Linked DNA regions of Astyanax mexicanus. The protein of the gene in region 1 purifies or fractionates together with the protein of each later gene. This does not show direct contact. Links are inferred from orthologs where the notes say so. Each region holds a gene or a part of one and is shown on either strand. Other genes may lie near its edges. The genes, in order: pals1a, lin7c, patj and amotl2a.

Evidence for each region.
Region 2: the proteins of pals1a (region 1) and lin7c purify together in Homo sapiens (affinity purification with mass spectrometry; 3 studies listed by BioGRID and IntAct, counting the BioPlex papers as one, with this or other methods). This does not show direct contact. The link is inferred for Astyanax mexicanus from reciprocal best matches to the Homo sapiens genes PALS1 and LIN7C.
Region 3: the proteins of pals1a (region 1) and patj purify together in Homo sapiens (co-immunoprecipitation; 5 studies listed by BioGRID and IntAct, counting the BioPlex papers as one, with this or other methods). This does not show direct contact. The link is inferred for Astyanax mexicanus from reciprocal best matches to the Homo sapiens genes PALS1 and PATJ.
Region 4: the proteins of pals1a (region 1) and amotl2a purify together in Homo sapiens (affinity purification with mass spectrometry; 3 studies listed by BioGRID and IntAct, counting the BioPlex papers as one, with this or other methods). This does not show direct contact. The link is inferred for Astyanax mexicanus from reciprocal best matches to the Homo sapiens genes PALS1 and AMOTL2.

Annotation. Positions count from the first base shown.
Region 1 is NC_064421.1:29,477,985-29,485,067, reverse strand, and holds the start of pals1a (protein PALS1), read right to left. Parts: upstream 3,022-7,083; 5' UTR 2,891-3,021; intron 2,711-2,890; exon of another isoform or gene 2,627-2,710; intron 1-2,626. Other genes in the region: gphna (gephyrin a), read right to left, coding at 6,003-6,136, 6,627-6,723. UniProt on the Homo sapiens protein: Plays a role in tight junction biogenesis and in the establishment of cell polarity in epithelial cells.
Region 2 is NC_064430.1:6,993,686-7,001,145, reverse strand, and holds the start of lin7c (protein lin-7 homolog C), read left to right. Parts: upstream 1-4,458; 5' UTR 4,459-4,590; coding exon 4,591-4,627; intron 4,628-6,444; coding exon 6,445-6,563; intron 6,564-7,460. UniProt on the Homo sapiens protein: Plays a role in establishing and maintaining the asymmetric distribution of channels and receptors at the plasma membrane of polarized cells.
Region 3 is NC_064423.1:15,520,997-15,528,931, reverse strand, and holds the start of patj (inaD-like protein), read right to left. Parts: upstream 3,016-7,935; 5' UTR 2,745-3,015; intron 2,395-2,744; 5' UTR 2,358-2,394; intron 2,269-2,357; 5' UTR 2,213-2,268; intron 679-2,212; 5' UTR 636-678; coding exon 614-635; intron 117-613; coding exon 1-116.
Region 4 is NC_064412.1:48,138,309-48,146,210, forward strand, and holds the start of amotl2a (angiomotin-like 2a), read right to left. Parts: upstream 3,017-7,902; 5' UTR 2,843-3,016; intron 1,251-2,842; 5' UTR 1,168-1,250; coding exon 446-1,167; intron 190-445; coding exon 1-189. UniProt on the Homo sapiens protein: Regulates the translocation of phosphorylated SRC to peripheral cell-matrix adhesion sites. Required for proper architecture of actin filaments.

The DNA.
Region 1 (7,083 bases):
TGCTTTTTAAACCTAGCCGAGCTATATTAATCACAGAAATGTGATGACAGATTGACACCACTGTGCTAGTTAGAGTAACTCCTGCTGTTAAAAATAATGTGTGTATTATATCTGTTATGATAATCTGTCACCAGTTATGATGGTCAGATTACCGGCATATACTTTATCGTCATAAAGTGGCACTCGGATGAGTAATACTGAAATACTGAAAATGTGTTTAAATATCACTGTTATTAAAATATATTCTCTTGTGAACAATATTCATACTAAATTATCTAGTCACAAATAGCCTACATTCAAACTTATAATGAGCTGATTCAACAGGGCCAAGAAAAACATTATAGAACTCCATGCCACAGAGTTCTGTTAAACTCAGAACATCATAAAACACCATAAAAGCATCAAAACTACCCTGAGATATTATAATACAATAAAAAGTCTAGTCAGTCCTAAACCACACTGTAAGACAATTATTATAACTGCATTGCCATACTATTGGATCGGGACTCCGTATTGGCAGATACTCAAAATCAAATGATTTACTCTAGGACAAAAAATGTGATTGGGACATTCCTAACTATGACAGTTTTTAAAACAAATGCAATATATTTCCTTACATTATCACTATTATATTGCAATTTATTCAATCACAATTCCTGGAAAGTGATATGTATTCTATCTTGCCAAAACACAGCCTAACCAATGACTTCATCCACTTTACATCTAATGACTTCTGCAGACCTGTATCTGGGGTGTGGCTGAGTGAAACTCAGCTCATGTCTAAGGAAACTGCCTGATGTCTGAGAACAATGTCATTTCTTACTGGAGAACAGTGAAGCGGTGAGTCAAAAGGTCTCAGGAAATACTGCTCTCAGGAAACATGGACAGGAAAAACTACAAAATCTACTAAAGCAAACTTTCTCTGAATTTGAAATTCTATCAACAACAATCTTTGAAATCAAGGACATTCCTTTACATTCTACAAACTGAACCAAACAAATTGAGTGCCATTATCAGCTGGTAATGCACGGTAACCGAAGCTCTCCATGTATTACTCTGCCACATGCAGGTAACCTAGCAACGATGCAGCACTTACAAGGCAAACAGCGCAGCTACAAATGGAGCAGTAATATAACTATTTTAACTCTAAGTGTTTATAACCAAACAGATGGTATTTTCTCGTCCTCTTTAGCTCAAAATCTTTCCATAAACAGCGATAATGGAACTGCGGTATAATCACAACAATACATTCGAAGGTTCTGCTATAATGTGTAATATTGGCACTGCTGTGCTGCAGTCTTAGGCATGAGTGTATTATTGCTTAATTCTATCAGTCATTGCTTAATTATATCAACTAATCGTTTCAGCCTAATTCCAGTTCAACATTGAACATTTTCAGCTTGCCAAAAATAAATTTTCACCACAAAACCATTTTTTATTTTAAATTAATTTATGGCAATATGTAGAACTTCAAAACAGAAGGCGAAAGTTGAGTAGGGGAAAATCTAAGATATTGTATTGGTAACATTTTGTTTTATTATTACTGTATTAGAGCACTCTTGGTTAAATTGCAAAATTTCTTTATTTTCTAAAATGTAGAGAATTTACATCCAGACAAAAATAAACATGCTTGAACATCATGGAGTATAATTATAATTCAATAACTTAATTTAACATTAAATTAAGAAAATTAAATATAATGTGGCATGTGCAAAAGTAATGGTAAACAAAATTGTAGAGTATTTTGTTTTGTAAATGGCTCATTGTTAAAACAGGAATTGTGTCAAGGTATATTTAGAATATGTATTTATTTATCTGCACTCAGTCTTATACAAGTCCACTACAAAAATAATCTGTATTGTTATTCGTTACAATTATAAAAATGTTAGAAATCATTTTAAACTCACATTATCACTAAAGCCAGAGTGAAAGATGCTCTGCTCTGTCACTGGGTTTGATGAAGCTGCTGCTCATCAATGAGTGAATCAAGAGATTTAGCTGATCTAATATGAAAACCATACTGCTCCCGTTCTGCCCTTTCACTGCTTTCTTTCATATCTATATAACACAGTACTGTACTTTTACTTTCAGTACTTCAGCACTACATTTTACTATAAACTACCTGCTGCAGCTCTTAAGTACAAAACATGTGAAATACTTCAGTATTCATGGGAATTAAAGAACACTTGAACTTCTACTTAAGTTAATAACTTTTTGATGGATAACGTTTAACTTACTCATATCTGGGTTTCTAGTAGTTTATACACCTTTATAAATTACATCGGCCGGGGGCGCTGTGCTGTGAGTAGAGTACACTTGTAAATAAGCATAAGGTCGGATTAGACATTAAACAGCTAATTAAAGTTTTGTTTAATTTAGCTAGGGTTAGTTAGTTAGTTAACTATGGAGGTTTAGGGGGGGAACACTCGAAATTACGAGTGTTTGTAAGAATTAGTTCGCGAAGTTGTGAAGAGGCTGTGTTGGTGAAACTCAGCCCCGGGACGGAGCAGCTGTGGGTTAAATTAGCTGGTTAAGCTAAACTATTCACTTTACTGTTTAACGACTCGCGGAGAACAAATTCAGCCCCGTTAATGTCAAGTAATCCCTCAGAAACAGGAATATTTACCAGAAGGAAGTGTTAAAACAGCGCGGTGCGCGCCGTGAGTCCGCCCGCTCCTTTAGAAGCGCTGAAGAGTTTACAAGTAGCTGCTTAGCTAACAGGCTAACAAGCTAACAGGCTAACAGCGCTCCCCCGCCCGCCGCGCGCGCCGCTCCTGGCAACCTGTCGCGAGGGAGCGCAGAGCTCGCGAGCGGAGCCGCGCCGCCGCACCAAGACACTAAACACTGCGGGCCGAGGACTGAAAGAACAGCGGGGAAAGTTGGTCTTTACCTCTCGGGCTAAAATCCGCGGAGACTTCCCGGTTTTAATCCGTATCCGCCGAGTCGCTCCTCACATACAGCAGCGCAGCAGAGCGGCCGCGGCCCGGGCTCGCGACATGTTGTGGTAAAGTGAGACGGGGAGGGGGGGGAGGGGGGAGAGGGGGCGGTAAGTGACTCTGCAGCGCCCCCTCGGGTTCAGACAAGAACATATATTTTTTTCCAAAGCCTAAACAGTTTTACAACACTAATCTGTTCATTTTACTCAAACATATACCTATAAATAGCAAAATCAGAGAAACTCAAGTAGTCTCTTACATATAAATATATAACATTACAGCTCTGGAACAAAAGTTTCTGAACCAGTTTCTCTGATTTCGCTATTTATAGGTAGATGTTTGTGTATCAAGAACATTTGTTGATTTATTCTATAAACGGCAGACAGCATTTCTCCCATATTCCAAATAAAAATATTGTCCTTTAGAGCATTTATTTGCAGAAAATGAGAAATGGTCAAATTTACAAAAAAGGCGCAGAGCTTTGAGACCTCAAATAATACAAAAAAAATCATATTAATAAGCTTTTAAGATCAGAAATAAATATTTGGTGGAATAACCCTCGTTTTTAATCACAGATTTCATGCATCTTGGCATGTTCCCCTCCACCAGCCTTACACACTGCTTTTGGATAACTTTATGCCACTCCTAGTGGCTTAAAAAGAAAGTATATATATATATATATATATATATATATATATATATATATATATATATATATATATATATATATATACCAACTGCACAGTGTTGGGCATAATGAAAAACGCCCTCTTATCTAAACTTTGCCATAATACTAAAACTGGAAAATTCTTCTGTATTCCTGAGTAAAATTTTATGTTATTCAGTGGGCGGGCAAATAAATAAAAAAATAAAAAAATATATAAATATAAATAAATATATATATATATATATATATATATATATGAATGCTTAAGAAATGAAAAGGCACACAACCAGTGTCACCACTAAGTCTAGACAGTTCCGTAGGTGTGACTAACAGGATACTGAGAAGGACTTTTAATAGGACAGTCTTACTAAAGACAACCCACATACCTTTACAGTGGAACAGTGCTGCACTACAATTCAGGAGTCTGATCCATCTTCAGGAAGGTCTTTTGTGCCTTTCTAGAATAGAGAGCTGAACCCTGCCTCTAAAAATGGTCTGGGTTTTCCAGACCTTATCTTTACCTCTACTGTACCTGTTAACTGTCATTTCTTTATAAATATCTGAAACTGAGGAAATTATATCCTAAAAAAGCTTCTCTTGCTTAAGACATAAAAAGGAAATCTTTGTTTAAACATTTTGCCTTTTTGGAGATTGGCTCACCTTCTACTTACCTGGCTTTTTACAGTAACAGTCATTCGGACCACAAGTGTTCTCAAAATTGTGAATGCTCCTTTCCATTTGAAAAACAGAACACGGTCAGAAACTTCAGCCATCTTTCAATGTTTATTTTAAAAAGAGAAACTGAACCACATGTTTTTTACAGAATGATCAAGGATTTTAATTTCATCAGTTTGAATATCATTACAGAAAAAAAGTTATTATAGTACAGAGTTTTGTCTCCTCATTGCTTCAATATATTCCATAAGGAGTGCTGGTCACACATCTGTACATCACCACTCTCGTGTTCGTTGTCTTTTCTATGTTTGTTTGTATATATGTTTTGACTGTACATTATATATTTATTTATTTAGGTTAAAAAGGCTGTCAGCAATTAAATAAGCTGTATTGTCCTTTTAAAGTCAAAGAAATAAAAGGTCCCAGCTCCCTCAGCCTCTAGGAGTGGGTGGGGCTGGTTAAAGAGGTGGGGTATAGGGCAGGGTTGGGAGTAATAAGGGCGGAGCGATGAAGAGAGATGGTTATGATGGATGTTTTGGACCGAGGAAGTCTGCCGGACCGACCGCTCCAGCTCTTTCATGTGTTTCAGCAGCACAAATCGAACATGTACCTTCCATATAATCAGTAGCTAGGATAACAGAAACTGCACTAACATATGTGCATTTTACTACTAGACACAGCAGGTAAATGTGGACCAAATCCAATGTTTTACATTATATGGGTGACACAGATGTGTCATTTGTGAACAGTAGGGCTAACAGGGCTGATGATTATTTTGGTAGTCAACTAATCTAATAATGATTCTTTTAATTAGTCGATTAGTCAACATTTAACTGCTTTAATTAAAAAAAAAGAAAAAGCTAAACTCTGGATTTAAATGCCCATTACAAAGCGCTGCTGTTATAAATTAACCATTAGTCCACACTGATAAACTAATCAAACGTTTGTCTCTCAGTTTCATAACCACACTCCACTCCCTCCCCGGCCCAGGCCTTTGGCACCGCGCACATAAACACGACTCACGAGATAAACGACAAGCAAAGCAGTTCTGTGAGGCCTTTATGAAGTGCAATGAAGCTTCAATGGAGCATACAGTATAATACTAAAGGGAAAAAAGCTGGGTCACCTCGGTGCACCGAGTGGTGTTGAATGAGTCCGATAGAGACGGGAAACCGAGAAAAAACTCTGCTGTCATCTCGAGCGGTTCTGTCCCTCAAAAAAAAAAAAAATAAATAAATCTTTTCCAGTGATGTAATCTGGACAGGCGCATACAGCTCTTTATTAAAATGCTACTGCTATCTATAAGGTCTAGCACTGAGCACACAAAAGCAATTGCGATGAAAGACAGAGGAGAGTTGCTTAATATGATGATGATAATATATATAATTATATTAATCATTATATTATTATAATATATTACAGAATAAATCTCTTTTCTTTCTTATATATATATATATATATATATATATATATATATATATATATATATATCTTCTTTAAAAGGTATATCTTTCTTTCTTTGAAATACTAGGATGTCTTTGAAGTCTTGAAATACTCATAAATTTGTTCAGAAGTTTTTGTTTCAAAATGTTTATATGATTATACTTGATCATCATTATCCAAATCGATAAAAACTTGCTGTGCCGTTGCATATTACAGAGTAGTAAATGATATGTGGACATGCACCACTTCGCTCTGGGCTTACTGGTCCTCCTAAGACAGCATCATAGCCGTCCTATGACCATCACGTCCACCACCTCTCCTTTGTGCAGCTCCACGTATTGCTCTGTTTTGGGAGGCAGCATTAGAAGTCCGTTGGCACTGCGCATGCTCATCAACCGACTGCTCATCTGGTTTCCTGAGAGAGGGAAGAAAAAAAAGAGCGAGTTAAACCGGTTTTAAGATAAATTACATCCAAACTGACTCCTCTTCAGACTTGAGTCCTTTTTACACACTGTATCTGTATCTGTTCTCTGTATACTTTTTTATTCTCTTCCTTTTATCCTGTTCTTCAATCCTCAGGACCCCAAAGGTGGTGGGTCGTAGCACTGCAGTGATTAGCACTGATTAGCATGGTGGTGGTGTATGAGGTGTTAAGGTGTAAAGACGCACCACCCAAATAATTATAGCTGCTCTGTGGTAGTCTCTCCTATGGGGCCTCAAGTATTGAAGAACAGGGTAAAAAAAGGAGAATAATAAAGTATGCAGAGAAACAAATACAGGACTACCCCTCAGACTTAACTAATATACAACTGAAATATATGGTGGACAAGGATTGGTGTATGTTCCACATCTAGGTGCCACTGTAACCAGATTATTAATTCTGATTAGTGTAAAGTCTCCCCTACCTGTGCTCTGTGCCCAGGGCAGAGGCTCCTGGTGATGCCACGTTAATATACAGCGATGATACTCCGGACGGGGGTCCAGCTTTACATCACAGGACAGCTATGAAGAAAAACATAATTTATTATGAAACCCGAGCACAAAAAACAGAGTCTAATACGGGCCAACAAATAATTGAGTGCAATTCAAATGTACAAACCATGATAAACAACAAACTATAACCACCATCCTTGCTGAACTGAACTTTTATTTTACTAAACTTAACTTTTATATTATTACAGTGGTATTAAAAGTTTGGGCACAACTGAATATTTTAAAATGATTTTTCTTTATAAATTGGTGGTTCGGATCAGCAATTTCAGTTAAATATGTTATGTAGCAGATGAACACCATGATATCTGAGAAGTGAAATAAAGTTAATAGGATTTACAGAAAGTGTGCAATAATTCTTTAAACAAAATT
Region 2 (7,460 bases), on another chromosome or scaffold:
ATGTCAAGGTGCTGTTGTCAAAGCTTTGCTGTTTATTTTTTTATCCCCACGAAATGAAAGAAAAAATACTATAAAAACTATATATATATATATATATATATAAATATATATAAAATCTATTCATTGATATGTTCTGGATTAATATAATTCATTTTGTATGTTGTGAAGTTGTTTGCAATATTAAATTGAAATATTTGAAGAAATAAAAATGACTATAGGCAACTGAAAAACTGAAAAAAGCAATGTCAATAAAGTCTGAGCTCTCCCTTTGCAGGTTTAAATTCAGCACAGATATCGGAAAACAGAAGATTACCTTCTATATTATTATAATATATTATTTCATATGTAAATTGGTGTTGCTTGTCAGAGATTGAGGCTAGTTTTGGACTAGTTTCCAATTCTACAGAATATTGGCCATACTTTATAGTATGTTCTGTGTCTGAAAACTAGACTTTTATTGTGAAGAGGCAGAATCCTTTATGAACCTGGTTGTGAGCAACGTTGAAACCGGAAATCCAGATTAAAGGAGAACACTGGTGTGAAATGGGCTTTTGTTATAGTGAAACATGATAATGATTATAAACTTTTGTTGAATAGCCCACCTCTGCTCACCCTCAGCATTTTGAAATACAGGGCTTTTAGTTGATGCTCCCAACTGGCTTGCAATGCTAGTGGTAGGGGCATAGTGTCGCCCATGCAAAGAAATGGCTATTTTTACAGCATTAACGAGGCTACAAGGTACTGTATGTATAAACAGTATTTTATACATATATATATATATATATATATATATATATATATATATATATATATATATAGTTTTTTAATAAAGTGTAGAGCTACTTTGAGCCTTGCTAATGATATAAACATAGCGATGCCTCTAATGCTAGCATTGTTATCCTGTTGGGAGCATCAGCTAAAAGCATTGTATTATATAATGCTAAGGGAAGATGGAGGTGGGCTATTGAACAAAAGTTCCTACTTATTAATCATATTCATCAACACAAGTCAATTCCACACCAGATTTCTCTCTTTTTTTAAGGCTAGATTAAACATTGCACCTCCTCTCAGAACGTCTTTCACACACACTACCTGACTCACCAAGGAGTTGGTGACCTGGGAGTTCCTGCAGCATGTTCAGGTAAGGACTCTTCAGCCCACGCTAGACTGAGATCTGCTCTGAAGTCGGTGGTGGTTCCCTCCAGTCACTGGTCACAGGCTATCACAGGTTTCCATCGCTGATGGAGATCATCTTTGAGGAGAACAAAAAAAGAAAGAGATCAATGCATTCAACACTCATCCACTCGACTTGATATCTGATCCATCTGCGAGCGCAAACCTGCTTTCACTCATAGATTGTTATCAGACACATGTGTCTGAAGTGTTGACACTGAGGCAGTATTGGAGATAAGGCACAATGTAGGAATAATTACTCTTTCCGTTGCTCATGAATATTTAAAAATATCAAAGGAAATCATGTTGGGGTAGTACGCTGTAAGAGGACTATAATTATGATAATGATAATACTCTATGAATTATTATTATTATTGTGCCATTTGCATTCATACTACTATTATTATTATTACATTATTACTACCGTATTACACATGTCCTTACACCTACTACCTATTCATAAGAGCTTCTATAGACTATAGATTTGCACACACCTAAAGAAGGACATCAAGGACCTTCGCATTTTTCTCAAGGACCTTCATCAATAACCCTCCTCAAACCCTCTAAATACAGGTAAAAGTGTTATTTTAAACCATGCAAACTGTGTCAGTTGCAATACTAACATAACTAATAACTAACTAATAACCTGAATAAAAATGAGAACAAATCCACTTCAGGTAGGCCAAGAGCCATTTTCACACTAAACATTACACCTCCCACTGACCAAGAGCCCGGTTCCATATCTCCTGAGTTATTTTAGTGAAGTTCAGATTGTCCCCAGTTCAAAGGCAGTGCTTGGTAAGAGCCAGCAGAGCCCTGTCCCATATGCCACAGAAATAGGTCACACTTAGCCTGTCCGTTTCTGAATTATACGGCTCTTAAAACATGGTGTCTGTGCAGTTTGCTGCTGTAATATAACACCAGAGGAACAGAGCAACAGAGCAGGATGATGGATGATGGATGAAGGCCTGGCCTGCTAAGTACCACTGGAACTGGAAGTACTGGAAATGGATTAACTCTGATGGTGAGACAGATATGATGCTATCCTGCTGATATTCCTGCGTTCTTATGATAATAACAAAATACAATTAAATTAAATAAATAACTTATCTTATTTTAGAACATTATTCTTAGATAAATCAAAAATACTAATCTAAAATCCATACAATGGAGGTAATTTAGCCTCATGGCCAGTAGATGGTAATGCTATCTAGCTAATACAACACCAGTAAACTCTCCCTGTATTCCCTATTTTAGACATTTTCTACCTAATTCCAACCATGAAACATATGCTAAAACTCTTTAATTTAGGTTCCTATCATTATCCAACGCTACAAACATGCTATAAACTGTTTTATTTTTAATAGAATCTCTATAGAGTGGGAGAATATCATCCACTTGAGAATGCTGTGTTTCAGGTGTGTCAGACACTAGAGGGCGATTCCAGTCCAAAATGAATGGGTTCCTATGGAGCAATTGAGCAAAAACACATTTTATAAACGTTTTATATATTTTTTACTGATAAATGGACTAATTTTCTCAAAACAGAGCCATATTAAATGTTTCAGCACAGCACACATCATTTTAAAAGCTTTTCAACTCTATTTATAAGAGTTTTAGCCAGTCACTCAGTACTAAGTAGCATAATGCTAGCGTCTCTACTGTTCAAAATATGTGTACTATAGAAAAATGGATCCATACAGGTAGGTTTTCTTGTCTTTCTGAGTGAAATACTTTATTTTACTTTTTAAAATGAAAGTAAAATCATGCATGAGTAGTTAGACAGTATTTGAAATATTGTTTTTAGCAGTTTAGCTCCATTCACTCCCATTCATTGAGGACTCTCTCGCGGGCTCCCTCTAGCGGTAAGATAGTAATTTGCTGATATAAAGGGTGAGATATGAAGTGGGTAGTCTCTAAATACTTGATTCAGATTAAAAGTAGATTTAAAGGCAAAGCTGTAATTAATTATAACAATATTGCCAAATCATTACAACAACAACAAGAAAAAATTACAATACAAAATACACAACAAAGCCTGCACAAAGCCTTCTCCAAATATTCTCAATGGGGTTTAGGTCTGGACACTGGTGGTCTATTCTGAAGGACAACAGGTCTAAATTTTTGTTTTGTGCCACAAATCATTAAAAAAGGAAAAGAAAATACATGATGTCCATTGTAATGATTTTTCTGATTAGGTAGCCCTATTCTGTTTTATTTTACTTAGTTGAGTATTTATTGTCATAATCTGGATTAGAACATTACTAAAATAGAGCTATTCACTGTATACCTGTACCTCTACCTCTTCACAACTTTACAACTGATGCTCTCAAACACATTAAGAGACAAGAAATTCAAGTAATTAACTCTTGACTAGATCAGCACAGCTGTTAACTGAAATACATTCCAGGTGACTCCTCATAAAGCTGACTGAGAATCTATACACACTAAAGTGTGCCATATCGTATTGCACGCAATAATATCACCAACATTTTAAATGTCTTGAACAATATAATACCCTGAAATAATGTGCCATATCACGCATCCCTAATTATCAGGGTACTACTTTTTTGCTTTTAAAAGAAAAATTCACAATGTCCTCATTTCCCTTTATCTATCTACTGGTTTATAACTGTCAAGTATCATTCATTTTACTTTAATCCTGGATATATGGAGATATTTGGAGTGCATTATTATTAGTATCATGACATTCTGGATCATAGACTTCTGTTACAAATCTCAGTTAAGGGTGTGCCATATCATATCATATGCAATCATAACAATTATTTTTAATTTTGTTCCAGTAGTGTATTCTTGAAATACATATCGCCCACCCCTAAGCTATGCTATACATTATCCCACCATCATTACATCTGAGTACAGGTACACTTTGTAACAAAATTATATTACTCCTTTTTAAAACACTAAATTATTAAAACAAACTTTTTTTATGAAAACTCTAAATTATATATATATATATATATATATATATATATATATATATATATATATATATATATATGTATATATATATATATATATATATATATATATATATATATATATATATATATATATATATATATATATATATACGTATATATATATATATATACGTATATATATATATATTTTTTTTTTTTTCAGTGTTTTCTCATATCGCCAAAAGTATCGTTATCGCAAAAATACCATGAGATGTCGTGATATTATTTTAGGGCCGTATCGCCCACCCCTAACACACACATACACAAACAATACTTTGTGTTTACAAAAGGAATGCGCATACCGTGCGCAGCGAGGATCCTGCCCGCCTCCCGCTGTAATCTCTCCGCATTAGCTAGCTTAGGTACAGGCAGCGGAGCCGCGGCGCTGAGACCGAGCCTTTATTCCGGCACTAGCGGACTAAACCCGGGTAACATGGCCTCGCTGGGGGAACCTGTGAGACTGGAAAGAGGTAAACTGTGTATTTCAGTGCTTTATTTTGTGTTTTAAAGGCTGGAGAGGCGCAGTTAGCCTGCTGTCTGAGATAAGCTTTATTCCGGGGCTGCTGGAGGCTATTAGCTAAACTAAGCTAAGCTAACCCAGGTAGCTCACTGTCAGCTGGACTAGCTTAGCTTAGTTCTAGTTCAGATTTTTGAATTAAACCAGCCCGAAAACTACTGTTTTTATCACTTTAAATATATTATAATGTTAATTAGGCACTAATATAGTATCATTTAACCAGTTCAGTCGATTACTGTTTTGGAAAATGTGGAAAAGTCTTGAAAAATTTGTGTAAACGTGAGATTTATGGTGGGATAATGTGTAAGTTAGCTGTCATTGCTATAGAATACTCTACTGCAACAAAATGAATATTATAATTTATTTGGAGATATAATAGCATATAACGGTAATATGATAGATTTTTAATTGAGGAACACAAAGTTTGTTGTAATAAATTACTTTTATTTTATTATTTTTAAACTGGTGGCATACAGTAACGTTATAGTTAGCATAGCTATTAAATGCTCTACTGCAACAAAATAAATATTAACGTTTATTTGGAGATATTGTAGCATACGCTATGATATGGCACACCTCTAATTTAAAGTTTTTATATTTAAAAAAAAAGTTTTTTTTAAATGTATTAAAATTACTCCTATTTTAAAAAAAGGAGTAATATAATTTTGTTAAACAGTATACCTGTATTCAGATGTAATGACAGTGAAAGCCTCTTGACTTGAAAATGTCTTGAAAAATGGGTATAAATTGAGTTTTAATGTATAGCATAACTTAGGGGTGGGCGATATGGTATTTTGTGGTATTTTCATGATAACTATACTCTTCGCGATAAAAATTGTATTTCAAGAATGCACTACTGCAACAAAATGAAAATAACATTTAAATATTGCTTATATGATATGATATGGTACACCCCTAACTGAGATATGAAAAAATACAAGAAATTGATCAGATTTGTAACAGAAGTCAATGATCCAGAATGTCAAGATACTAATAATGTACTCCAACTATCTCCATATATCCAGGATTAAAGTAAAATAAGTGATACTAGACAGATATAATCATTCTCTAGTACATGTATAATGGGAAATGAGAACAGTCTGAATTATATTGTGATAATTAGTGGTGGGTAATATGGCACGATATTTTAGGGTGTAATATCATTCACAATATTCAAAAAGATTTATTTGTAGATAATATTTATCTGAAATAGTTATTATGGTGGCATAATGTAAAACATACTTATAGAATGCTCTACTCAACAAAATGAATATCAGCATTTATTTAGAGATGATATAACATACGGTATAATATGCCACATCCCTAATTTATTTATTTTTTTCATTGAGAAACACATGTAGTTGTTTTTAATTAATTGCTGTTTTTAAAAATTAGTTTGAAGTGAGTTTTATAATGGGGGCTTCAATATGTGAAGTGAATTCCAGTTAAATTTGTGAGGTGGATATTTAAAGGGTTGGGTATGGAAAGGCAAGGGCCGATGTCGTCCTCAGGCTGTAAAATGCCCAGATCTCCTTTTTTTTTATTAAAAAAATCTGCTACTACTGATGCATTTAGTCTTGACTGTGAAAATATGATGCTAAATATCGTTTATATCATTTCTGATACAATATTTAATTGTATTGCCCAGCCCTGTTGTTGACTTCCCTAAATCACAAAATAACTATATAAAAAAATTCCAGAAGGATTTAGATTAATTGGTACTCCTGGTTTGTTGTCTGGTCTTGCCTCACTGAAAATATCTTTTCACAGATATCTCTCGTGCCATTGAGTTATTGGACAAGCTCCAGAGGACAGGGGAAGTACCCCCTCAGAAGCTGCAAGCCCTGCAGAGGGTTTTGCAGAGTGAATTTTGCAATGCTGTACGAGAGGTAAGCTCACCTTGAGTACTCTTCATTAACATTAGACCCACTGATATTGGATAGTTACACCCATGATTCCAGTAATATTGTTAATAAATCATAAGAAACTGGTTAAATTACTTTTTACTTTTCATTGCACGACTTTGTGTAACCATTTACAGTTATTTAGTGATGTTAAGTATACTTTATTTATTTATTTATTTATTTAGAAACTTCTCACTTTTCTGTGTTTTGTATATCTAAAAAATACAATTTTTCTAGTCTCCGCAATAACAACAAACCATCCAAATAGACCGGCCATGAAAGTTACCTTATTACCCCATTGTATAATAATTGTTTAATTATTTTTACTGACGTCAAAAAATTGTGCATTGTGTTTATTTTAATGAACCTTTATTAAACATTAAAGGTAGTCCTAATTTTTAACGAAACCAAATATTTACAACGTAAAGGAAATTGGAAAATAAAATAAAATTAAAATCAGTTATAATCAGGTTTAACTAAAATAAGTAACTTCATAAAGAAGACAATAAAAAAATTAATGGAATATGCATTAAAAAGCAAACAATAAACATTTAACTGCCGTTTGGACTAGTACATCATCTAAATAAAATGTAGTTATTTTGACAGGCCTTCCTACATTATAGTAATTATGAACTTTTTTTTTTTTTCCTTTTGAAATATAATTTTAAGAAGTTTTTTTTGTAGTACATGTAGGCTTTTAAAACATTAAGGCATTATATGCTTTAGACAAGAATTGCTCTGTCCATGGACTGAAACATGTTCCTGTATGCTGAGAATCCATTTAAGTAATTAGCCATAGGCTAAAAGGCTTTATAGGAGTGGCTATGTTTGTCCTAGAAAAGGAAAGACCAATTAAAGTCACACTAACAGCCTCTACAACCG
Region 3 (7,935 bases), on another chromosome or scaffold:
CAGTGCTTCCTTCAGCGCTCCCAGACGCTCACTATGAGTCCATTCCTCACGCTGCACCAGCTTCGACTGCAGCCTCTCCAAGGCCTGAAGCACCTGCTGCCGCTCGGTTGCAGATACTGAACACACACAGACACAGAGATAAAAAGACACAGAGTTATGATTTAAGTACAATTATGAAATAATGACTTTACTACTGTAAAATTTAAACAGCATTAAGGAAATCTTTTGCAATCTTTTGTTTTAACATAAAATTGATATTAAAATTGATCAGAGAAATATATACAGCTAGTCTGCCTTTCATAATAAATCAACAAAACAATACATTTAAGATATCAATATAGCCTGTGCAAAATTTGGAACAGGTTTTATGATTTTATACATGCTCTAAAAAACAAACAAAAGACAATTGTTTTAAGCTTGAACGTTCTAAAGTGCAGACTATTAAGGTGACATCTTCAAGTTCTGCTCATATGCTAGTAAGAAAGGCAAATAAAAAAAACATACATTTGTTTAAGAATTATCAACAATCGGTTTAGCCAAGTGTGCTCAAACTATGTTTGCATTTATTATACTGTTAATTAGGTATCACTAAAATGTGGCATAATCCTTTTACCTGTTGGCACATTTTCATACATTGCTCCTCCCCGGAGAGCCTAATGTAGAGGGATGTAAATAAATCTGTCAGGACAAACACAGAAAAACAACATTAACAACCCTTTCTTCATCCGGCTGTACCTATATATGAATTTTTAAACATGTTTAAAGTCAAAGGTTTGTTTGGTAGATCTACCACAATATTAAAAACAGCAAACAGATATTGCGGGGTAAATCAGAATTCCTGTGTACCACAACACTGCAACAGGTAACAGGAGATGAGTGACAAAGATAAACACAAATCAAGATTTATGCAGATCCATTTACCTTCCTTAGAGAGTCATATTGTACACAACCCCGGAGAGCTGCTTGCTTTGTTAGCTGTGAAACAAAAGGACCTTGTGGCCACGCCTTAATGGCCTTGATTTAATTAATTTATTATATATGCTTTAATTATCTGTTTCCCACACCTTAAGAGGTTATGGCCACATCTTAATGAACTCATTTCCAGGCCTTAACAAGTTGTGGTCACGCCTTAATTATTTCCTTTTAACACAATTCGAACATATCTCATTTCTACGCCCTAATAAGTCGTGACCACTCCTTAGAATCTCATTCCTATTCCTTAATCAGTCATGGCCATGCCTTAGGATCTCATTCCCATACCTTAATAAGTCCTGGCAACACCCTAATTACTTTGTTCCCACGCACTAAGATCTCATTCCCCCACCTTAATAGGTTGCGGTCACACCCTAGGATCTCGTACCCCCTCCTTAATATCTAATTTCCATGCCTTAATAAGTTGTGATCATGCATTAGGAGCTCATTACCATGCCTAATAAGTTGTGTCAACGCCTTAATAATCTTAATAATAATCACACACATTAGAATCTCGTTCCCATGCGTTAATAAGTTGTGTCCATGCCTCAGAATCTCATTCCCACGCCTTAATAAGTTGTGTCCGTGCCTCACGATCTCATTTCCACGCCTTAATAAGTCATAGCCAAGATTCAGGATCTCATTCCCACACCTTAATAAGCTGTGGCCACAAAGTATTTTTATTTTAATATGATGTCACCTTAGGGGCTCGGTATGTGCCCACAATAATAACAAAAAAACATTAATAAGCTGCTCACTGAATATATCTGATTAGATTGATCGGATTAGATTTTACGCATGGTATCAATATTTAGAAATTATGGGTTAAACACGTTGATACAAAGGTCCAAAAAATAATATTAGCTAACCTAGCTAATTAGCTAAACCACCCAAACAACTGGTTAAAACATGCTGGTCATCTCTGTAGTCAGATGTTTGGCTGATAAAATAGTTATTCGGCTAATTTTGAGATTAATATGAATATATTCAAGAATATATATCTCATTGACTCACCTCAACACTACACTAACACCAATAAAGGTTAGTAACAATGAGAGAAAACAGTTATTCAGGAAGAAATGTCGATTCTTAACACCTAGGAGACTTCCTATATCATAACAGACAGCTCAGTTTCGGTGAGCTAACCCAGGTTAGCTAAGTTAGTTAGCGGTTAAATAACACATTAGCCACAGCAGCTGTGTTTAAACTAAGTAAAACAAGACGAACTCTGACTACTTACCGAGGTTTTAAGCGCCGAAGTTCTTCAGTTATAGCTTTAAAACAAGCTGGAGGTTCCTGTAAATAAAGTCCAAAACAGTATTGTAGTTAAAACGCTGAGCTTCTTTCAGCTGAGATTTCACTTGTTTTCATCCGCCCGAGCTCACCTGTCTGACGGAAGTGAGAGGAGCTGCGCTGCCTCACCTGAAAACAGGAAGCAGGTAGAGTTAAGTAACAGAGAGAAGCTCACATACCCAGAAAAAGACTGTTTAACTACATTAAACACAATAAACAAGACCTACATGATCGGGGCGAAGCGTTAACGTTACTTAATAAGTAGTGCATTTGGTCAATAATGTTGGATTAATACAAAACAGCTAACGGTTAAACGCTTTCTCCACAAATAGCTAGCTTAGCTAATGTACACAACACACAACAGTACAACAGGTGCATTAGTCTCTAACACGTTTTACACGCCGGTAAACGCAGAAATAACCAGTTTATCACACAGCAACCAAGCTGAAAATGTATATTAACTATATTAACCCACTAACCTGGAGTTTGTTTCTCGCGTCAAGGCTTTAAACTGCTGTTTAACATGTTATTTAGTAAGTTTGGCAGGCTGGCTAGCTCCACTAGCTGTGCTAAACGGGTGGTGAAGTTTAGCTGGCGTTAACTACTCCCCTCACACTCAACTTCATCAGCGTAAAGGTTTGTTTCTTTAGTTTTTATTCATTTTTAACTAAATAAGGCGACTGCTCTGTCTAAATAAACCATTTAAAGTGCAAATAAAAATACTAGAACTTTAGAGGGTTAAACAACTGCATTTTCCTTTCGCTGATTTTTTTTTGTCTCTTTAAAAAAAAATCTCTCCGGGTCACGTGACCACCGCCGCCTCCAACATGGCTTCACCCAGCAGCGGGCTGTTTTGTTGCTGGTGGAAACAGCTCGTGTTTGTGCTTTTCTCCTCCTGCTGGACTTTAATTCACAGCGTTACTGAGCAGGTGGATAGCTGTGAACATCTCCGCCCCGGACAGTATCCTTTTTTCCGCTGTTTGAGTGGAGGATTTGTGTGTTTTCTCCGCTGCAGAAACAGGCTAGCTATCCGGTTTAGCTTAGCTTAGCTTAGCCTAGCCTAGCTAGATGGATATAACCTAGCTAGGTTAGTTGTCAACACAATAATAACGTAGGTAGGGTTCTGTTTTGCTGACCTAGCGTGTATTTGGGTATTTGCTATTAAACAAAGCCTGAAATGTACTTTATTTGATAGATAAAATATTAACCTTGCAAAGTTTGTTTTCTCTGTTTTGTAGCCAGCTAGCCTTAGCTAATTTAACCCTGCTAGTAGGTTCTGTGCTGCCAAATCAGTTCTGGAATTTAGTTATTTGTAAAATAAAATGTTAAAGCTAGGTTTAAATGTGTGTTATCTCTGTTATGTAGCTACCGTTAGCTGACCTAACCTAGAAAATTGATGGGTTATGTGCTGCTAAAAAAAAAATTCTTAATGCTAATTTGTTAAATTAAATGTTAGCTAAGTTAAGTTAGAATGTGTGTTTTCTCTGTTAGGTTATGTAGCTAGCTGTACTGACTTAACCCAGCCAATGGGTTCTATACTGGCAAAAAAAATTGTTAATGCAAATTTGTTAATTAAAATGTTAGCTAGCTAGCGTTAGCTGACCTAGCCAGGCTAATGCGTTCTGTGCTGTCAAACAAAGGTAGCATGAACAAACAAACCAGTAGCTAAATCTAGAAGTTAGTTAGCAATTTAAATATAACATAACTTATATGTCTGCATCCTTATGTGCAAACACTTTGGGAGGGTTTATTGGGTAAGAATTTAGTTCTATTTGTATGCCTCCATTCAGGTGTATATTCTCAATCAAGGGTAAAGCCTAGTCATAGATTGTAGTGCAACAGATTCAGCGGCTGCAGCATTTAAGATAGAATGGAATATATATATAGATATATATATATATATATATATATATATATATATATATATATATATATATATATATATATATATATATATATATAAATAAAAGCTAATTTTAGCTCCCCTTTAAAGTGGAATTAAGAATGAATCATAATATTAAATTGCTGCACGATCTGCCCCCCATTCTGAAGACATATTATATCATAATACACGTTATTGTACACATTGTTTAAGAGAACATTTTAAACAAAAAAATATCCATACACTGGAATTGTAATATAGAATGTCCTAAATATCTAAATAAAATAAAAAACATATTATTAAAAAAAAAAAATTACATCCCTGCTTGTTCATTCTAATGGGTCTTCATATAATGTCAAAGTGAGTAAAACATTATAGAAGTTATGTCAATTTATTGCATAATAAGTTGATAAAATATTTATTGTTACAGCCCTATACACAATTCTAATTGTAAGCATGCAGTCTATTGTTTGAAGTAATATTTTTTTATAGTAGTAGTAATAATAATAATAATCATTATAGTAGTAGTAAAAATAATATCAAAACATAAGAGCCCAGACCTGTTTCAGAATATGGGGCAAACACAAACTTTTTTTTCCCTCTTAATAAATGAAATTATCATTTAAAAAGTGTTTTTTATTTTTACTCAGGTTATCTTTGCCTGATATTTATATGAAGTTTTTTAATAATTAAGAAAATATCAGTACGATAAAGAAGAGAAAAGAGAAGTGCTCATCAGCATAGCTAATTGATAAATATACAGAGAGCTAGAAAGATATATTATTTTTTGTATATCCATTTTAATTGATATTTATTAATAAACAACTTTTTGAACATTTAAACTAAACTTCAAGATCCTTTAGAGTGCAATATAGTATAATCAAAAAAGATGTGATAAAACAGCAAACCTTAAAACTGTATGCTCTAGTGCTGAAAGTATTGTCTGTAACAGGACCAGTCTGTGTTTCTCCTTGACAATATTCAGGTATATCTGCAAAAGTCCTATAATAAATGATGCAACTCAAGAACCAGAGAACTGCAAGGATCTAATAGCATGGGGTGAGCTCATATGATAACTGATGATCATTAAAAATGCATCTGTCACTATGCTTTTTTTGTTGTTGACTTAAGAGTATAGAGCAGTGTGCCAGTTGTCAAATCTGTCCATAATAGAGCTGGGCAAAATAGATTTATAAAAATATATGTTCATACGAGATCAAACAGTATGGTTTGTATTAATAAAGTCTATACTGCATTCCAGTTAGCTCTGTCAGTTCTCCCGCACCCAGACATTGCCCCAAATTTATTTTAAGCAGCAGAACCGTTCAGTGGAGGCTTCAGGGTGCAGGAAAATTACAGACCAATCCCGCGCTTCCTAAATAAAATGTGGTGCACACAGGAGCCCATTCAGAGCATTTTATATAAAACACATAGTGACAACAGAACTCGACATTTCAGAGAAACACAGGCAGTTCAAAACCTGCGTCACTACAAAAACTAAACACTTATCTTCAGAGCTGTCATGCCCACTCTAACCTGAACTGACCAATCAGCTCCTACACACAGGTATAGGAATAGACCTGTCACTGTTTCTGCCCAGATTTAAAGAAAACTCAAATTGCACTTTTTAAATGACTTATTTAAGCACTTTAAGACTCTTTTACCAAAATCACACTTTGATGTTGTTTTTAAGGTACTTTAAATGAAAAAAGAAACAAACATTTTATTTGAAGAATCTTGTTTATAATTAGTGTAATTTAAATTCCCTTTAAGCACTAATACGTTCTAATATACAGGATATGACACAGGATAATAAAACTGCCTGTGTAAAATCTGGAGCATGTAGCTTTGTCTTGGAAGTGTCTTTTTGTTATTACCTTATGGGATTAAAAAAAAAAATCAGATATTAGTTTTGATCCATAATGCCCAGCCCTAGTAGCTAATATGCTATGTTATTTTTTTCAGTGGAGTGTCTTCCTGCACCAAACATCAGCTGTTTGCTGCCTAATGGGACCAAGTACAAATTCAGTGGCGATGAGGTTGGATTTAATAAAAGTGTTCCATGTCGTAATGTGTGAGTTTCTTCCCTCTAAATGTCTATAGTAAATACTAATCTAAAAGAATTTGATTTCATTGGGGTTAATATTTTGTGATAATGTTTTGTTTTGTTTTTTGTTTGACTAGGAGTGTTTATTCTTACAAAGTAGCTGTGGCTTTGTCACTGTTCCTGGGATGGCTCGGTGCAGACCGCTTCTATTTGGGTTATCCAGCTCTCGGTAAGTCCTCCTAAATGTGTTGGTAGTAAACTGTTAATTATCAAGTGTAACAAATTGTAGAATAGAATGTTACCGACATGCACAATATTTTCTTTTAGCTTATCAAAGCATTGTGGGCATATTGTCCATGATTTCTCTTCCAGAGGCAGATTTTATTTGCCATATATATATATATATATATATATATATATATATATATATATATATATATATATATATATATATATATATATATATAATTTTTATTTATTTATTTATTTATTTATTTATTTTTTGCTCCAGTCTTTCAACCATATGATATCAGTCATCCATATACGCAACTATAAAAAAAGTACCTTTTACTTATGGGCAAGGCCAGCTCAACCCTCATGTTCGGCTCTATCCAATGGCATCTTTATTATTATACTGTATATGTAGGGACAGCATTACACTGATGGTGATTCCTGTATCTACAATAGCTGTAGTTTAAACCTTTATGTATAAACAGAAATAAAGTATATTTGTGAGTGGTCTGTAGTGCTCATTCTGCTAGCTTGCATACACTCAAAGAGAGTTAGATTTGGCACAACATCTGGAAAGGCAACTTGTCAAATTGATTTTTATTGATTTAATAGTAATACCAATTACTAGTAAACTGCATTGTGAAACCAAAACTAACCGGACCAAAATCTTTACAGTATTAAAAAACACATTATCCATTAGTTCAGACTTTGGGCTGGACTTTTTAAAGTCTGTAAACAGCCTCTGATAATTTTCATGCTTAACTCTTCTTTTCTTTTTATCTGTTAACAAACTGTACAAGTGAGAGTTCGCTAATTTCCTGAAGTCTGTGTTTCTTCTCTTCAAATCTCCAAAAACTGAATAGAGCCGAGGGGAACTGGCATGTGAGAAAATAAACACTGCTAACATTATCTCACCTGGAGGAGCTAGTTCTTTATACATAAACTCCAGAGTGAAGCAGGATGTGGCGTGAGGAGCTCCTTTTCTCCTTCTCTCCATGTTTTAAGGCCATTCTTATCAATTAAGCACCTGCAGACATACAAAAGACTCTGGCGGATGAAGGCTTTCCTTTTTCCTTCTTCTTGGGCTCTTTTTTTTGTGTGTTTTTTTTTGAGTGTTTGAGCGGAGCAGGTGAAAGGCAAGCCCATGCAGAGCCTGAGCCAGTCCTGCAGGCGTTCTCTCCGAGATCTGCACCTGGTCTGGACTGACCTTCAAGCTACTGCGCCATTCAGCTCTAAAGACCCTGCCTGGCAGGGCTGAACAGGCTCTCCGCAGGCAGCTCTTTTGATATCAGTGCTGGAATCAACACGCTTAAGCCCTTCAGTGACCAATTATCAGCACTATTACTGGCGATTAACAGTAATTATGTTTAAATTACTAGATGTGGGAGGATTAATTAATTGCAATTCTTTCAGATCCCTAATGGCATAAACTCACCAGTTTTTCTGTGTGTATCCAAATGGATGCCATTGAAAAATGGAAAATTGTGACTTTTTTTTTTTTTTTCCTTCC
Region 4 (7,902 bases), on another chromosome or scaffold:
TGTAGTCTCACTGCTTTCTCACTGTAGCTCTCCACCTCCCTTCTCAGCTTCTCATTTTCCTTTATGAGTTGTTCCATTTGAGGATTAGGAGCCTGGATGCTGTATCCTGCGACGATGACCTCCTGGCCAGCAGGGGGCAGTGTGGGCAGGGTATTGTTTCTGATCACCTGTGACTGGGCTGGTACATATCTGGAAGAAACAAACCAAAAATCAGGGTTGGTATGCTTATTTAATTTACTTTTGCAAAAAACGTGTATTATATGTGATATGAAAAGATAGACCTGTCAAAATAATTATGTTAGCAATTTATCTTACAGAATACGAAAATGTCATTTTTGCTGACAGTGATACTGGCAGTTGTGTTAACTTTGTTATGAATGTTTATGAATGTCAATATAACGTCAATAATATTGTCTATTCCAATGATCAAATATTGATTATTTACCTGTGGTGCTGCGAGTGGAACGCCGGAGGGGGTTCTTTGTAATAGTGCCCGTTCTCCTGCGAATGGCTCAGCATATATCCAGGGGATTTAACGGTAAAGGGGTACTCCGGAGGTGGCCCGCGCTGATCATGCCCGTGATCAAGGACAGCAGCACCAGCGTGGCTATGCCCGAATAGCTGGGGGTAACTATGCGATGAGCTCATTGGCATGTTATCATGAGCACCGTTCCTTTCCAGGGAAAGCTGCATGAGGCGCTCACTTAGTGACCTGGCATGCTCCCGTTTGAGGTCCCATGTGCCCTGGTCCTGCTCGAGCCCCGAATCTGCGCCGGGGGTGTCCAGCCCACCCTGCTGCAGGCCGGCCTGACCCCTCTGAGAGGCCAGGTACTGTGAGTGGGCCTTGGCCTCCTCGTAGGTGGGCAGCTCTTCCGTGTGGAGCTGGTACAAGTGGCACACGGGGCTTTCCGAGTGCTGGTAGTCCCCCTGGTGCTCCTGACCCTGGGGTTCCTGTCTCGTGGACATCTGGAGGAACTGGGACTCCTCCTGAGTTAGGCTCTCCAGGGACGAGCGAGGGCTGCCAGCGCCCCCGCCGCTGCCACTGCCACGCAGGGCCTGCTGTTGGATGGCCAGGAGAGTGCGGGTATCCGTGGGGTTGCCATACCGAAGCTGTTCCTGGATCAGCCGGTGCAGCACCGTGCCCGAGGACTCCTCCGCGGTTCTCATCTCAGTCAAGGTTCAAGTGTAGTGCCAAAAGAATATAACACTTGACGTGATGATTGAGCGATTATGTGGCTTGACCGGTCAACCTGGGTTTAAAAGTTAAAACAATTACAAACATTAGTAATGAAAATAGCATGATAATAAAATTATAAAAAGTATATATATATGTAAATAAATAATATTAAAAACTAAAAATAGCCTGTGGTTCAGTGGATTATACTCTTAAACATTGTGTGTAGACCCACACTTAAGTTCAGTTTAGTACAACAAACTAAAATTGGCCTATGTTTCAGCAGGTAAAGGCAGTAGTTCTTAAACTGTGGTCTGTGTCCCACTGTTGGTATACCAGATGACCTCAGAAAATGTGTGGAATGCACTAAATAAAAGTAATATCTGTTGTTTTAATGTGTAACTTACATAACAGTTGTTTTTGTTTAATGCTTAGCTGTAGTTTAATCATAGAGCATCATTCAAAAAGAGAAATTTAGGTTGTGAAATGGGTTTCCCTCCAGTCCACATGCCCCCTCTAGAGCAACAACACCACCTCAGCCAATAAAAATCCCACATAAACCCCCTCAACCAACTACATTATGGCTTTTCACAAATATCCTCACACATTCACTATCAATTTTTGCTTGTCATTAATTTCATAAAGGTTTTTTGCACTAGATTACAGCTTGTGAAACACAGTTTCACACACAGACCCAACATAACCAACAAAACCTCCAGGTATGTGTAACTTGAGGCAGTTTGACCTTATGGCATTTACTAGAGTCTGAGTGAGACTTCTGAACCTGCATTTGCGTCAGTCTTTTCCTGCTCCAAATTCCTCTCCTGTAGCCTCACCTTCACGCAACTGAGCAAACTCACATTATTGAGCAAGCAAATAAGGCCTCATTTACAGCAAATAGTGCCAGAGTATTCCACACAACCCCAGATCCACATTTAACAGTCCAAAAAGCTGGACAACATAGGAAACATTGGAAACATGGGAACGCTTTAATAGTTCTTGGTACAGATGTTGTACTAACTAGATAATAGGTTAGTATTTTGTTGTATCACAATAAATATAGTTTTATGAACATACAATAAATATTGGCAGTGCTAAAAAACACTGATCCACTGCAAATCATAGCTAAACTGTCCAAAGAAAATCATGTATTCCATATATTGTCTTTATAAAAGAAGGAAAAGGTCTTCTTTACTTTATGCAATAAAATGGATAAAAACGTTTTTTCTTTTTTCAAACATACTTGATATATCATTACAGAAAGTGTAGCTAATTATTAGTGTTTAATTGGATTTTAGTTTAGTATATTTGTAATAAAATAACTATATTAGCTAAAAGTATTGGAAGCATCTGAATATTAGTTTTCACAAATCTGATTTTTTGTGCATGTCAAAATATTGCAATAAAAGTATTGTGATACAATATTATATACCATATCGTCCACCTCTAGCTAAATAACTAACACAGCAAGCTACATTCTTTAAACAGAAGTAATAAAACACAGAAATAACAGATAACTAGTTTAGTGAGAGAACAGAAATAGGAATCCAGTAAAGGAAAATAGATAAGATACACAAATGTATGTTAAAAAGAAAGCGAAAATGAGCTTAAACTGAAAACAAATACACATAAACCCGCAGTTTGTGGCTGTTTTACCCCAGAACTCACCGAGTTACTCCGGCATCCCTGCAGAAATATGAAGTTTATGAGGGTAAATGCTGAGTTTTAGATCCTTTAGAAGTCTGTACAGCTCGGCGGCTGTGTTTATATCCGTGTTAAAGCTGCTCGCGGGCTGTGCTCGCGCTGCGCTCCGGCGGCGGACTGAGGCCGGGGGGAGGAGCCGCGCTTATTAAGCGCTCGCGCTGATTGTTCTCCGGCTCCGGAATGTCAGGAATGTGAAGGCTGCGGGTCCCACAGGGATTCACACAAGCCCCGCCCACCGGACCAGGATTGGCTGCTTGCGTTCCCGCTCCTCTGCTGGGATTGGTGCAGAGCTCAGTGCTTATATGTTGAGATATATTTTATTTAATCATGTTTATTAATGATTATATTTAGATTTACTCGAGTTTTTAACCACTTTTTCATATATGAACAGTTTTTTACCAACTTAACAAAGCAACTAAAACATTTATTTATACATATTTAACTTCTATTTAGGAATTTCTAAAATATATATTTAGATTAATTCTAGAACAATTATGTAGATCTAGCTTAGATTTACAAAAAGATAGTTAGTTTATTTATACTTAGCTTTAATCCATCTATTTTCAATATATTTGTATAGTTTATATTTCGTTTCATAATTTTATTGCTATTATTATCATTTTCTCTTATTTTATTGATGTTTTATTGTAAGTTTACATTTATTTACATATATGTTTTCTTTGTGTTTTTATTGGTGATCGTATGAAATGTGCTAAATCAATAAAGTATTGTATAAAAATATTATGCAGCCAAACATACACATACATTTTTATTGTGGCTGAACTTCATCTAATTAAACAGCACTAATTACACTGGCTGTAGTGAAATGGTAAGTTTGTCAGGGTTCTTGAAGCAGAAATTATTAAAAGTATATTTTGTATAATTTCTGAAGCATTTCTGCTACTGATGGATTCATTAGAAGGGGTGTCCACAAACATTTGGACAGTATAGTGTATCTGTAGCGTGAATGGCAGGAATGTTCCATTAGGTGTGAATGGGTGCAGGTTAGTTTGGCATGTAGGCCTATATGTGTGTGTATGTATATGAATAGAGTAAACATGAATAGAAGGAATGTTGACTCCTGTTTTCTCATAGATTTTTAAACATTACTGTAGAGATTTAATTGCTTTCAGTGACAAGTGTTACTGAGAGCAGAATGTTGGATGAGGACAAAGGCAGCCATATGTGTTCAACATAATTTGTCCTTTATTTCACTGCTCTATACCCCCCAAATATTTTACACACATCTACACAAGGTATGGGTAAGTAATAGTTATTTATTGTTTACAGCATTTGAACACACCAGCTGCCGTTCACATTGTGTCCAGGTTTTTACATTGACTTCCACTGGAAGTTAGAAGTGGTTCAGAGAAAAGTATCCAATTGTTTTATTCCAAATAACTTTGAGTCATTTCTATTAGTCTATTCACCATATCATTTGAGTTTAAATGGGTTTAAATAATAGAAAAAAAAATCAACAAAAATGGAGATACATGCTTTTCACACAAATCATATCTCGCAAACAGCTACTTTTTTGTTGTACAAAATTACAGGAGTAAGAAAAAAGGTCAATGTAAAAATATGTTATTTCAAGCCATTTTGAAGTGTTTCTATTGGTCCAATTATCATAAAATTCCAATATAAAAATGATAATGTTTAAGTTCACATTCTGAATTCTGAATGCTTTGCCACAGTGCAATTTTCCTATTCATTTCATTATTAAAAAAAGAAAACACTGTTTTTCACCAATTTAATCTATTTATTCTATTATGTTGTTTGCAGCACATATCTAAAAAAAACTAAAGAATACTGAAACCTCCTCTGTAAGATTAAAGCGGTATATTTGAACAGGAGTGTGTATGGTGAGTGTGGAATGTGTTGAATGAGAAAGCTGGTAAAGTATTGATTTGAGCTCTTTTGTTTGCCTTCAGCTGGTGAATATTTAAGCCCTGGCCCGTGCCAGTTAATTGCTGAGTGTGTGTCTGTGTGGACAGTGAGGGAGGGGTGTGTGTGTGTGTGTGAGAGAGGCATGCTGCCTGCCAGCTGTCTCTGGAGTGCACTGGTCTACCCCTCCTTAATAAGCTTTCAGATAGACGCATTGTTCTTCCCACAGCAGAATTACAGGGGAGAGTCTACCATCTGCTCCTACATACACCATACACCACCATACACACCCCCCACACCATACACACACCATACACCATCCCCCTACAGACCCCTCTCACTATATATCAACGTTTTTTACACAACCCAAAAAAAAAAAAAAAAAAAAAAAAAAATATATATATATATATATATATATATATATATATATATATATATATATATATATGTGTGTGTGTGTGTGTGTGTGTATGTGTGCATAATGTTTTTGTATGACGTATGTTTTTGTAAGAATGTATGATGATTTTATTCCAAATAATTCAAAGTATTTTTTTTATTGTTTACATGTTGAAGCACACAGAAAATACTGATGATACATATAGTGACCATCCAGCTTGTTATCAGCACACAGCATGCCATTTAAAACAGAAAACATTTGGTACATTATAAAAGAAAAAATCTGGCAAAAAAAGATCTAGCATTATTGAGCAGCTACAGGTAACATTCTTAGAATATTTAATCTGTTAAGTTTTCTGGATGTTCTTAGAATATTTTAATTTTACACTTTTAGATATTCTGGTAGCGTTGCTGCAACATAGTTTGTGTCAATGTTTAAATGTTTCGTTTTTATTAACATTTTCATAATGCTAGTATTCATCTAGCTGGGAATGTTGGGTGAAACATTCAAATAGCATTGTGATGCAAACCATTATTATGTCACACTTTTCAGGACATTCCTGTGAGTTTATTACTGTAACATTACAAGCTAACTGTCCTAGAACCTTTTCAAAACCTTAATAAACATTCTTATAACATTCTCTATTATCTGGGTTGGAACTAAGTGTTTATGATGAGTTTAATAGACATCAATGTCAACATAATTAATAACTTTCTATTAAAATTTTGGTGGTGCAAGAGTCACACTAGAGTCTGTTCACCTGGGATTATTTTAAAAGCTCCTGTAAGTGTGTAGTGTGCAGTTGTCCCAGTACCTTTGTCCAAAAAGTGTGTTTCAGAAAATCAGAATAGATCAAATATAGGCCATATCTTTTTTGTAGGACACTTAGCTTATAAGATGTCCTGTGCAGCTGCTTACCTTTGCCTAGGGCAATAACAGTGCCTGTATATAAAGTACGTAAACACTACATACGTACTGTAAACACACTCACCTGCACGCACACACCCCTATACAATCTACAGAATGCAGGTGCTTTGTGAAAAGGAGAATAGGACTGATCTCAGTTTTTGCAGCACGTAAAATCAGTCCATTTAACCCAATACTGAGTCCAGATGGTTAGTGAGAGGCAGCTGTGTGTAAAGCAGCATGTCCTCGCTTGTTGATGCTAGTGAGCAGTTGGTGTGCCGGATGTGTGGATCCACTGCAATCATATCACCACATGGATCTGCTTTTACCAACATCCTTCAGTTAACAAACTAAACCCACCCAAGAACCGGATCATCAGCAAACATTTCACTCAGAAAACGCCCGGAGATAACAAAAATCACTTAGTTAACAGAGATAGCATTCTCTAAGCTGTTTAAGCTAAGCTAAGAGATTTTAATCCAAAATCGGGTAATACGTAGTGTTTATTTATCATTAACATTTCCCTGTAGTAATGTATTGCCAATAGACTAGAAGAAAATAACAAACCAGTGTTAAATACATTTTAGATAATTTATATTCTACTAACATTAAATGATAGAAGGGATATATATATTTTTTTTCAGGAAGAACTATTAGTACTATTACTATTACTAGTACTATTTTTCAGGAAGTACTATTAGTATTATTAGTAGCTGTACTATTAGTAGCTGTACTCACTAACTCAGCTGTACTCACTAACAGAGAACGCTATGAGAACGCTTGGCAATGTTTTTAAAAAGGGTCTAGGAAGGTTAGCCTGTAATGTTATTATAAAATAATATTACAAAATGTTCAAAAATGTTCTAAACCCGTGTGATATAGTAGTAGTATGTATAATAAAGGTTTGCTTTACAACATTATTAGAATGTTTTTTACATAACGCTCAAAGCTAAATAGAGCTAAACAAAGCCATTTCTATTGCGCCATTCATCATAAAATTTATATACAATATACTGTATCAGATAAATGAAACAGATTCCTTTTTATGTTTAAGGGTAATGCTGAGTATATCATCCATTTTCTCTATCCCACTCATTTATTTTAATTTGAAGGTGATGTTGACTTCAATACAAACTCTCTGCTTGTGATTTTGATTCAACAGTGAGGCTCACTAAATTATGTTGCTTTAAATAATACTTTGGTTAGTTGGGGATCGGGGTGGGTTAGTGATCATCCACAAACCTGACCTCACTAGCAAAAACAAATCCTCACAGCAATGCTCCAAAATCCAGTGAAAAGCTTTCCTGAACAAAAGAGACCAAAGGATCAAAATGTGGTCCAACAAAATAGATTAATTGATTCATGGTCTGGTTTGTTTGCAGTGTAAAAACTCTTTTGTAAATGGTTCAGGCTTTTGGAACAATTACAGAAAATTGAGTCAGACTATCGTCACCCATAAAACAATAGAAGAAGTAAAAGAAGAATTGTTGTGCTAAAATATGTTTCCCTTGGGGATGTGCAGGAGCGTTACGCAACAGTATGAGTACAACTGATTACGGTGCTGGTGATTCTGTATCTATTGTAGCTGTAGATCAATCTACAGTTACAGAATCTGATCATTCTGCTGCATGACTCAAAAGGCGCACTTAAAAGGATTCCAGGGAGACTTTATTTGGCAAGCCAGTGTGTCAAACTGACAACATTCCAAACCAGAATAAAATATAGGGAGGCTCTACCCATGTAGTTGATGACGTCAGGATGTAGTTAAGTTGCTTAGTCGCTCAGTCACTAAACTGCTGTGTGAAACTAATCAAAACTAACCAGACTAAATAAGCAG